Schizosaccharomyces pombe: one gene and its partner. The gene in region 1 interacts genetically with each later gene. Each region holds a gene or a part of one and is shown on either strand. Other genes may lie near its edges.

Region 1 (5,890 bases):
CATCGAAACAAACAATCGAAACTCTAATGAATTATGAAAATGATAAACAAACTCTAGAAGGCTCAAATAAAAAGAGACAAACAGTCGTCCTTAAAGCTGAATGCATGCTTAAGCAGCTGGAGAATAACAATGAACTTAAGAGATAATGATGTTTGAAATGTTAATGACTTTTAATGACAATTAAATGACTTAAACAAATTATAATGAAATTATAATTAATAAAAGGTATAATTATTAATTCTAGTAAGACTGTAATGCTTGTTAAAGATAGAATTAAGCATCTAAAGGATAACTTTTCTAGTAATCTATTTTGCTCGGGAAATCTTAAAGTAATCAGTAAATACATCAGTTCCAACTTTTAATGATTCTTGAACGTCGTCCCAGGTACTACGCTTTTCCTCTTCTCGAGTTCCCCTATTTTTTTTGTCTTCTTTGAGCCATTCCAAACATGTCTCTAGAAGGGCGCTATTTCCCGTAGAGGACCTTGTCATCAGAGCACCAAACTTGGATATTGGTCCATAATCCACGATACGCCCAAGACTGAGATGGACCAAGTGAGTTGGCCACTCAGCTAAACCATCAAATATATGTGTTGCATAAACAATAGTAGCATTCCTTACTTCCGTTTCCTCTTGCAAAAAATTTAACAAATCTGCCCGGGCAAGAACATCCAAATCTACAGTTACTTCATCAAGTAAAAGTACTTCAAATGGACGCAGAAGTCCCATACATAGTTGAACACGTCGTCTTTCACCATCGGACACTGCATGCATTCGCCAACGAAGATCTATATCAAGAATTGAAATCAAGAAATCCCTACGTTCGGCAAATTTATCTCCTCCAACAGAAGCAATTAATCGTGCAACACTCATATCCCTATGTATAACAGGGTTGTTAACCCATTCTACAAACGCACACATCAGTAAAATTTGATGTTAAAAGAACTTACCAGTTCCTAAATAAACAAATGCAGAACTAGACTCACGAAAAGGATCTTTACCACCCACCGATATATGTCCTGCTTTCGCAAGCGATTTTCCAGATAAAAGTTTAAGTAAAGTTGATTTTCCTGTTTAACAAAATTCCAAGAGGACATCAGTTAGCATTTAAATATTCTTCATCAATTTCCATAACACCGCGAAACTTACCAGCTCCATTGGCTCCAACAAGTAAAGTCCTTGATCCTTTAGGAAGATCTAAAGTTACGTGATCAAGACTTAAAGGCTGCTTTGGAGAAAACGTGTAAGAGAGGTTTGAAACAGTTACTTCCATTTTGAAATAGAATGTTTTAACAGTAGTAAAATATAATTATCTAAGAACTTAGTTTTACAATATATAAAGGATCCAAAAAAAGGCGCAAATTAAATAACACTCAAACTTTGTGGGTTAGCTGGATTGTGTTTAGTACATCTGTGTATCAAGTAAAGTGTGGAGGGAATGCAGTAAAGTTGTTATAAGCAAGACCTCGTACTAATAAATTAGCTTTCCAAGTCTTTGTAAAGAACCTTTTTTAACTATTAAGTAATGCTGCCCATATTTGGAGATGCTATTAAGACCTTGAACACACATCCTGCGGAGTCTTGGAAAGAAAAATGATTAACATCGATGGAACAATTGGCAAACAATATATATAGGAGATAGAAGCAGATAACATTTGTAATCAACTACAATTTATGCTACATATTATTTGGCTTAAAACTAAGTAATAATACTTTCCTAAGGTCACCCCATTTCGTTTAAGACAACAGACAAACCTAACATTCGCATGGAATTTTTTAACAGCAGGCGGACATTTCTCAAATAAAAAAATATAAATATAATATTATTTCATTCCTGCTAAACGATTTTAGCTTTTCAACGTAGTATTGCCCATATCATTAGACTTAATATATTAAACAACAAACAAACATCGATATGGGCGAAGGGCTTTATATAACGCGGTACGTAAAATAGTCTTACCTCAAACCGTTTTCTCACACCGTGATTTTAATTGAATTAAGTATTACTATTTTTCGGTTCTTTAACCAATTGTTTTAATTAGATAGTGTACATTTTTCGTGAAAAAAAAGAACCATTAATATCAGCACTTAATTATTCACTTTAATGAGCAGCAGAAGAAATGACTACCACTATGATGGAAACGACCACCAGTATCGTAGTCCTTTGAAATCAAACGTTGATCAAAACAGTTTTTATGAATCTAGTTATAGGAGCCGACAATCCTACCATCAAAGAACAAAAACACCCAGATCTAGTTATGATTCACCCTCTTCATCTACAAATTCCAAGGAACACAATTCTCCCTATCATTATAGAGTCCCTAGCAATAATTCAACAAGAGCGTCTTTTGGGGCAGCTTCTACGGATACGAATGTAGAATTGCCGAAGATTAATCTTCCAGACTCGAGTTTGTCAAGTAAACTTCAAAGCTGCAAGTCTGCGTGCGAGAATTCATCCCAGAGTTTATTGAATGTCGAACAACAATACGCTCAACAAGTACATTTTTGGGAAAAAATTAGAACGGATATATACCGAGAAGGTCTACGTAGTGATGCAGCTGTAAAAAGCTTAAACGATTTTGTAAATAATGTCAGCTTCTAAATAAATTATTGCAATCATCGTCTGCGTACAAATCATTGAGCTTCCGCTTTGTGGATATTATTATGACTTTTTATTGAAAGTTTTATCCCAAACCCATATTTATAAACATGAATGTTTTTGTATAGCGTTTTTTTTTTTAAAAAAAAAAAATAAAAATAAAAAAACGCTTCATACACTCTAAACATTCTCAGACTACTTCGGTTCTCTCCCTTTTAACGTATAATATGCATTTTAGATTTTCTGAAGTTTCATTACGGTGAAAGTGCTGTAATGGACACAGCGTTCTAAATGTCTTCTTTTTTAATTTTCAAAAACAAACTCGAAAATAACAAATTTTCGCCTTGCATATCCAATAAACGAATATGTCTATAGCCTTGTTGCAGTCTGTCAATCGGACAAGTAAAATTAGCAAATATAGAGTCATTTCCATTACTTCCTCGATGATGGACGAGAAATCGGATCATGGAATAAAAGTCATCACTAATTATACTCTCATAAACCATGGTTTCTCCCCAAAAAGGTCGAAATCCATTTTCGTGCACAACTTTGGAACACCAACGAAAAGGAGATTCTTCCATTGAATGAACTTGGATCTCAACATAAGGGCTGAGAGTTTCAGAATTAGAAAGTTCTCTAGCTCTTCTAAGTTGTTGCCCAGATATGACATCTATTGTTAATTTTATTTTACGAGGAAGTCCTTCTTCGCCAACTGTTGTACCAATTATTCGTTGACAAGGTGGCTTTAACAAGTACCCAGTCGGAGGATCAGCTATAAACAAAGCATCATTTATTTGAAGACCTGTATCATAAGTTTGCCAGTTTAGAGCAACCATTTGCACACCCAGGCGCCAATACACCTGAGGATTAAAATTTGTACTTCCTACTCTCAATGGGCCAGGGTATACACGACACAAATAGCGTAAATTATGTTTGCTAAGTCTTGGAACCATAGCTTTTCCATGCTTTTTTATAGTCCTTTCCGAAAATGAGAATATGTGGCTATACGTTTTTGATTCCGGTAAAGAAAAATTTCGAAATTTCAATGATCGGGCATAAGGTGCAAGCTGTTGCAATTCCTGCACAATGATATTTTTCATCCGTCTTTTACCTTTCCTTAACCCTGTTAATTCTGAATTTTCTAGCTCCGATGATTCGGTAGTATCAGTCGAAGAATCAGTTATCCCAACCTTCAGTATGTCTGTCGAAAATTGGTGCAATGGTGTTGCTGAACATTTGACTTTCAGCAAAATTTTGTTCAGTAAATCTTCGGGTGAAGGAAGAACTGATTCGTTAGCGGTAACGGGTTTCATCACCAAAGTATCCCCAAATGCTTGTTTCATGTAACTAACCATTTGACGTTGTTGGTCAGGGCAGCAATGAATTTCCAAAGAAATGAATAATGGATAAGGTGAAACGACGAAAGCATATTTTCGTATAGCATCAATAACATCATTAAATTTTATCATAGAAGTAAATGTATGTCCATGACAAACTACAGGACCATTCGGTCCATCCCAGCAATCGATTTCAATACACTTGCAGCCACGCTGTAGCGAACGGATATAACCTTCAATTGAACTTTCTCCACCAAACTGCTTACCTAGTAAATAAGTGTTATGCGACGAAGAAATTAAGTATTCATTCAGTGGTCGCGACATATCTTGTATCACAGGAACTACTGGAGAATTATGAGGAGAAAGTAGAAAGGAAGTAAATTCTATCAAACCCATTTTTGAATCATCATTTGAGCAAAAAGAGACATACAAAGTCCTAATTGAGTCACTATCCAAACGAGCCTTTTGAGAAGTTGATAGAAAGTGACGAAACTGTTCCAAAGACATCTTGTCAGAGCCAGATGTATATTCTTTAAAAATATCTACAATCTCGGATCTTGTTTTTAAAAGGCTTACAAAATGCTGAAATTCTTCAAAACTTAGCTTTCCAGAATGATCAGCATCTGCCTTTTGAAATGTTTCTTCTAAAAACTCCATTGATGCATTCAAATGTAGCATTTGGCACATGCGATGCACGTCTCCTAGATCCAACTGTGCACTTTGCTCCTTTTCTAACTTTTCCCAGGGATTTAAATTCTCTGAATAATCTATCATTTTTTCACCTTGATGGCAAACGAGATTAAGTCCAATAATAAATTCATTCAATCGATAAGTTTTTAGACCTTCTAAAGCCATAATCCATTGATTATGCGCATCTAAAGTTGGAGATATCATATGCATAGCCTTTAATTTATTATCAGCACAATATATAATTGTGAACCAGCGTTTCTCGTTCTCAGAAGAAATTTTGTACTGTTCTCTATAATTACGAGCATCGCGGCCCTGTCGAATTTCTTTAATGTCATCAACACAAAGCTTCTTATAAGCTTTACCAGTATTCTTGTCCAGCATAAGATATCCAGATATAGGGTCTAAAGAGACTTTACGTTGGCGCACCTTTTTCTTGGTTATACGAAGTAAAGAGCATCCGTTTTGAATAGATTCAGGGACTATAGTAGCTAATAGCTGTCGAGAATTAAAGTTTTGATTCACCGAGCTCAGAGTAGATAAGTTTTCGTTACTATCGCATGAGTAAGGGTTCATTGAAGTATTTGTTCTCGCAGAATTCATTCGACCTTGCAAGCGTAGCAAAAGATTTAACTTCAGAGAAAGCCAATTCAATCCTCCATGGAATTTATTTTCTGAAGCTGATGTCGATTTCGTACTCAGAAAAGAAGATAAAGAATTTGATCGTTTACGTAGAGTACTATGAGCATCGCGATCCCTTGATGATAGCATCTTAAAGAAATCCTGCTCCGATTTCTTCCTATTGCCAACATATGGGAGATCCAAAGCAGCATTATCTAAGGTTTTACTCCTCGTCTGAGCAACTGCGTTTTCTGAGCAATCGGGCAGGCAAAATGGACTTACTGCTCTGTTGGAGTCTCCTAAGTTGACCGATTCAGGCGACGTTACCATTTCACAATTCATTATGATATCTATTTAAGGATTTACACCGCCATTGGCTTTTTGATCATTATGTTGATATTTAAAAGTTCTTCGGTTTTTCGGTTTTCATTCAGCAACAATACGCCGTGTATGTGTCAATAAAGATAAGTGGATAGCACTCAAAATTGCATATGAGCATAGATTCAATCCACCACTTTAAATCAAGTAAGCCTGATATTATTATAGGGACAAAAATTAGTTGTTTTCGGAACTTTTACCTCTTATATCGTAGGAGCTTACATCCGAGACTTTTGTTAACGTTAGTGGCAAGCGCGCTTTGGTTTAAT
Region 2 (4,195 bases), on another chromosome or scaffold:
GGCTGAAAGCAAAAGGGATTTACAAGGGCACGTCTTTTATAAACGGGTATTTTGGACTGAGTAATAAATAAGGGTTTTTGTGTATAACAAGTGTCATGGACTATTGTCATGATTTTGGAACAAAATCTACACCGTCTTGTGTTTTGTAGTATTATTTTTTTCTCGTAAATAACATGTTATATTTACATAATCTATCTGCTTATATGTAGCTTGTTCATTCAGAAGGATTTTAGTACCTTTAGATACTGAAAGTAGTATATAGAGCTATTCTCTACCACTCCAACGCTCAAGCAATTGACAACATCCAAACTTGTCCAAAGTAAAGAAAATTTAGTGTCAAAATGTTTTCTTGGAGTATTTTATTTATAGTTTGCTTTTCTTTAGTATCAGCATTTAAAGATACTTCGCCGATTTTCTTATTTTCTACGAACTCGTATGTCCTGCATCCATCGATGGCATTATACTGTGTAAATTATTTAATCTAACTAAAAACAGCAAACTCCCCAAATCATCCGATGATTCTTCAATATCCACTTGCCCTATGATGTTTTTTGACGCCGCAATTGAGGCACTTTCGACATGCAATACAGCTACCTTAATTATACATCAACCAGGCCTTGAGGTTAATGATTTTCAGTTGGGAGCTTTTAAACATTTAAAGCGTGTTTCTTTGCAATCACCCTATAGCTTACTTCTTCCTTATTCCAAGGAGTCTTTGGACTCACAAGAGTTGGTGCATTCGGCAAAGCAAAACTGCGACGTTGAGGTAGTTTACTTGGGTGGATCCTTTAATGCTTTTCCTCCTCTTCAAAATGATCGCATAACTGTTGTTTACATGAATGAACTGTCAAATGAAAGTTATCATAGAAGTGCACAATTAATGGAATTGGATGAAATGTTCTACAACTTACAATCTACCTTGGAACAAGATGCTCAGTGGAATGTAATTATAGCCTCTTCTCCTTTGAATAACTCAGATTTTGAAGGATTTAAGGTTGATGCTAACGAAGAAGAGGCCAATGCTGAATTTGTAATTCAAACGCTAGGTGGTCTCAACTCAGGGAAGAGTGCTCTTCAACACGGCCAATTGGCTTCTTTACCTGATCAAAATGAGGGATCACAAACCACGCTTGCTATGCACCAAACAAGGAAGCACCCTGTCACCGACAATGGTGCGACGGGACTGTTTACCGAATATCAATTTTTTACTCCTGGTTTGTACATGGGTTATTTGGCATTGGCTGTATTGGTTCCAACTTTGTTTATTTCTTGCCGTTTACTTTCCTCTATTCAAATCAGCTATCACGCTTTTGATAGTCCTCGACGCAAACAGTTATAAACCTCTTCTTAAGGTGAATAAGCTGAAGAAGTTTCAATTTATTTCTTTCTTTCATAATTGATACATCTCACACTTAATTTAGAAGAAAATTATTGTCATAAATGGTTCTTGATAAGTATAGTTTGGTGACATTTTTACCTTTCAGCGCAATTCCTTAGGTGTCCAAATGGTTAGAATGATCTTTGTTTTTTAATATATTGAAGTCTATTAAATAGTTTTTTGGACTGAAGAATTTATTTCTTGTGATGAGACAAACTTTATAACCATAATATTGTTTTTTCTTTATGATGATTCTCTACGGAAGGTGAAAGTTGTTGGCATCATGTAGTCAGCATAACTTTGTTTTGCTTTTTGTATTCTATTCAATTAATATTTTTGTTTTGCGGTTTTAAAAATAGTAGATGAATTTGCTATACTTTGAATAAACTAGAGAAACCACTTTAGGCATACAGACTCAATTATGAAATTTCCTTAATTATTTAAAGCAATTTCTTCGTGGCTGATTGTTTCGTAGAATGAGTGTTTGCGAGAGTTTTTTCCTTGGATATTTTCGTTATTAGTTAACATTGTCATTACTTATGGCATGCATCTTCAAGTGATCAAAGCACAATATACCTTAACAATAAGAGTAATATGGATGCAGAAAAGTTTTGAGTATATTTCTATAATTTAGAAAGGTCAAATTCACATATAAAAGTGATTGTAAATATTTATTCATTTCAGATCTCTCTTACTTGAGATCTTTGTTACTCAAAATTGTTACTTGTCACTGGGCTATGCGTGTTTTGTGCAATGTCTCGATTCTGCCAAGTACCTAAACGTAAAGATTGATTCTTCTCCATCCATTTAGTCAGTTTCACAAGGATCTCTACAGAAAGGTGCCGTAAGCTTGAATAAAATGAGCAGAAAAGAGATTTACGAACCCCGTCCGCGCTACCCAGATGGTTATAATGGAAATCGAGCGGTCAAGAAGTCCTTGTCGGTACTTTCTTTGGACAATATGAAATCGACACTATCAGGGCTTTTTGCTCCACTTAAATTAGATGAAGAGCAGGCAGAAGATGATGAATCCCTGAGTAGTTATGAAGATTACGCGTCTAGACAGATCGATGATGATTTAAAGAAACAGAGAAAGAAAGGGATAACATTTATAGACTATTCATCTTTAATAACTTTTTTTTGTAAGCTTTGTGTTATATTTGGATTAGGGTTTGTGTTTACTTATTTGGCTGAACAAATTGTGCAAGATGCAAAGCTACCACTTCTGACGGTCAATCTCAAAAGTTGGAAATTTGAGCCCCCATGGCCTGCAATTTTTGGCTTCGTTGCTGTCATACTTGGACTCTCTTATCGACGTATGGATACGAAGTATCCTTTGGGAGCTGCCCCTTTACGCCCTTCACAATCGTCTAAATGGCAATGGATTTCTCGGTATCTTGCTGCTTTCGCTACATTGCTACTTTCTATGAAGGTAAGTTTTACATTATACGAGGCGTTCCTTTAAATAAAAAAGTGAAATATATATGCAAGATGTATGGAGTTACAGCAATTATCTATGCGTAACGACTTCTTGATATAGTTTATTCATCACCATAAATAAGTTGTGCTGTTTTCTGAGAATTTAAGTTTGATAGTAAACCCTCTTTGCCAATGCTTACTATGCATCGTGAATATACTCTTGCTAACTTATCTCTAGAAATTACTATTTATTTCGAATTCACACTCCATTGTTGCACTCGTTGCGAGTTCTGCTAGCATTTGGTATATATTTGATCGCTCAAGAAACGGTATTATTTTGTCGACAATTACTTCTGTGTTGGGGAGTATCTTATATTATAATTTGGTTGATACCTCAAAAATGTATGTTAGTTGTTATCCATCAACTGCCTACCAAAGGCTGCTCCAGTATTTTCAAACATTCGTTTATCAGCTAACAAATTTAGTGAGTTAAATGGAGTTGAATTCCCTGAAATTCAGTTTCGTTTATGGATTCCTATGATACTTTTCTCCGCTTCTACGATTGTTGGTAACGCTGGTCGTCTACTATTTTAATTTATTCTCTAGGAGTTGGTTGTTTGTGCTTTACGTTCTCTTTTTAGCCTTAGACTTCATTATCCAAAACAACCGGGTTAAACTTGTTTTGCTAAATGTTTTCCTACTTCGCATCTGGGCACTTATTTGGTTTTTCTGTATTCGATTATCCTTTTGTACCTTCTCGTCTCATTCATCGTTGTGTGCGAATCGGTTTTCTATCATGTACCAACAATCTTTTCATGTTAGTATTTTCTATTATGATTCCTAATATTCCTCATGTAGTTTATAATTATGTCTTTGTTCTAAAACATTCATCTACAAGTTTTCCTTTCTCAAGCCATTTATTCTTGCTTCTCTTCAGCAACATTGGTAGTGTAATATGCAACGGTATCTTTGGATAACGATTTTACTAAATTTCGCTATAAGAGCTACTGTGGCGCGTAATATGAATTGGCCTACCTTACACAAACATCCACAGAGATCCTATAAACTTTGTGTTTGGCCAAACGGATGTTTGACAGAGCTTTTTTACTTGTTATTAGCCTTATGAACGTATTTATTTGAAGACTGATCAAGTTTTACTTGAGTTTTTGAATATTGTTATAATTTACAAAGTAACGTCGCGCGACATACTTTTCCAATTATAAGCTGAATTACGGTTCAAATACTTTACAATAGAAAGCTCTTCATCCCGGCGATATTATTTCTTTTTACATAACGTTTTTTTTTTCATAATTTGTCAAGGCTCATTATTGGAATAAATTACACTTATCGAGTTGTTACCAAATTTTTGATTTTGATTTAGTGCACAGGTTTTTAATA

Evidence for each region. Genes that interact genetically often act in the same process or in processes that back each other up.
Region 2: mutations in shf1 (region 1) and ins1 together harm fitness less than expected from each alone (positive genetic interaction), as found in Schizosaccharomyces pombe (one large-scale study listed by BioGRID).

What each region holds. Positions count from the first base shown.
Region 1 is NC_003424.3:4,807,481-4,813,370, reverse strand, and holds shf1 (histone H2B-K119 ubiquitin ligase complex (HULC) subunit Shf1), read left to right. Parts: upstream 1-1,962; 5' UTR 1,963-2,103; coding exon 2,104-2,601; 3' UTR 2,602-2,885; downstream 2,886-5,890. Other genes in the region: formin Fus1, read left to right, coding at 1-146; CCR4-Not complex subunit Caf16, read right to left, coding at 306-904, 950-1,069, 1,149-1,272; phosphoinositide phospholipase C Plc1, read right to left, coding at 2,886-5,585. UniProt on the Schizosaccharomyces pombe protein: Component of the histone H2B ubiquitin ligase complex (HULC) which plays a role in transcription regulation by catalyzing the monoubiquitination of histone H2B to form H2BK123ub1.
Region 2 is NC_003421.2:415,620-419,814, reverse strand, and holds ins1 (INSIG domain protein), read left to right. Parts: upstream 1-2,147; 5' UTR 2,148-2,237; coding exon 2,238-2,810; intron 2,811-3,016; exon of another isoform or gene 3,017-3,035; coding exon 3,036-3,199; exon of another isoform or gene 3,200-3,282; coding exon 3,283-3,391; 3' UTR 3,392-3,658; downstream 3,659-4,195. Other genes in the region: family protein BIG1, read left to right, coding at 342-433, 496-1,339.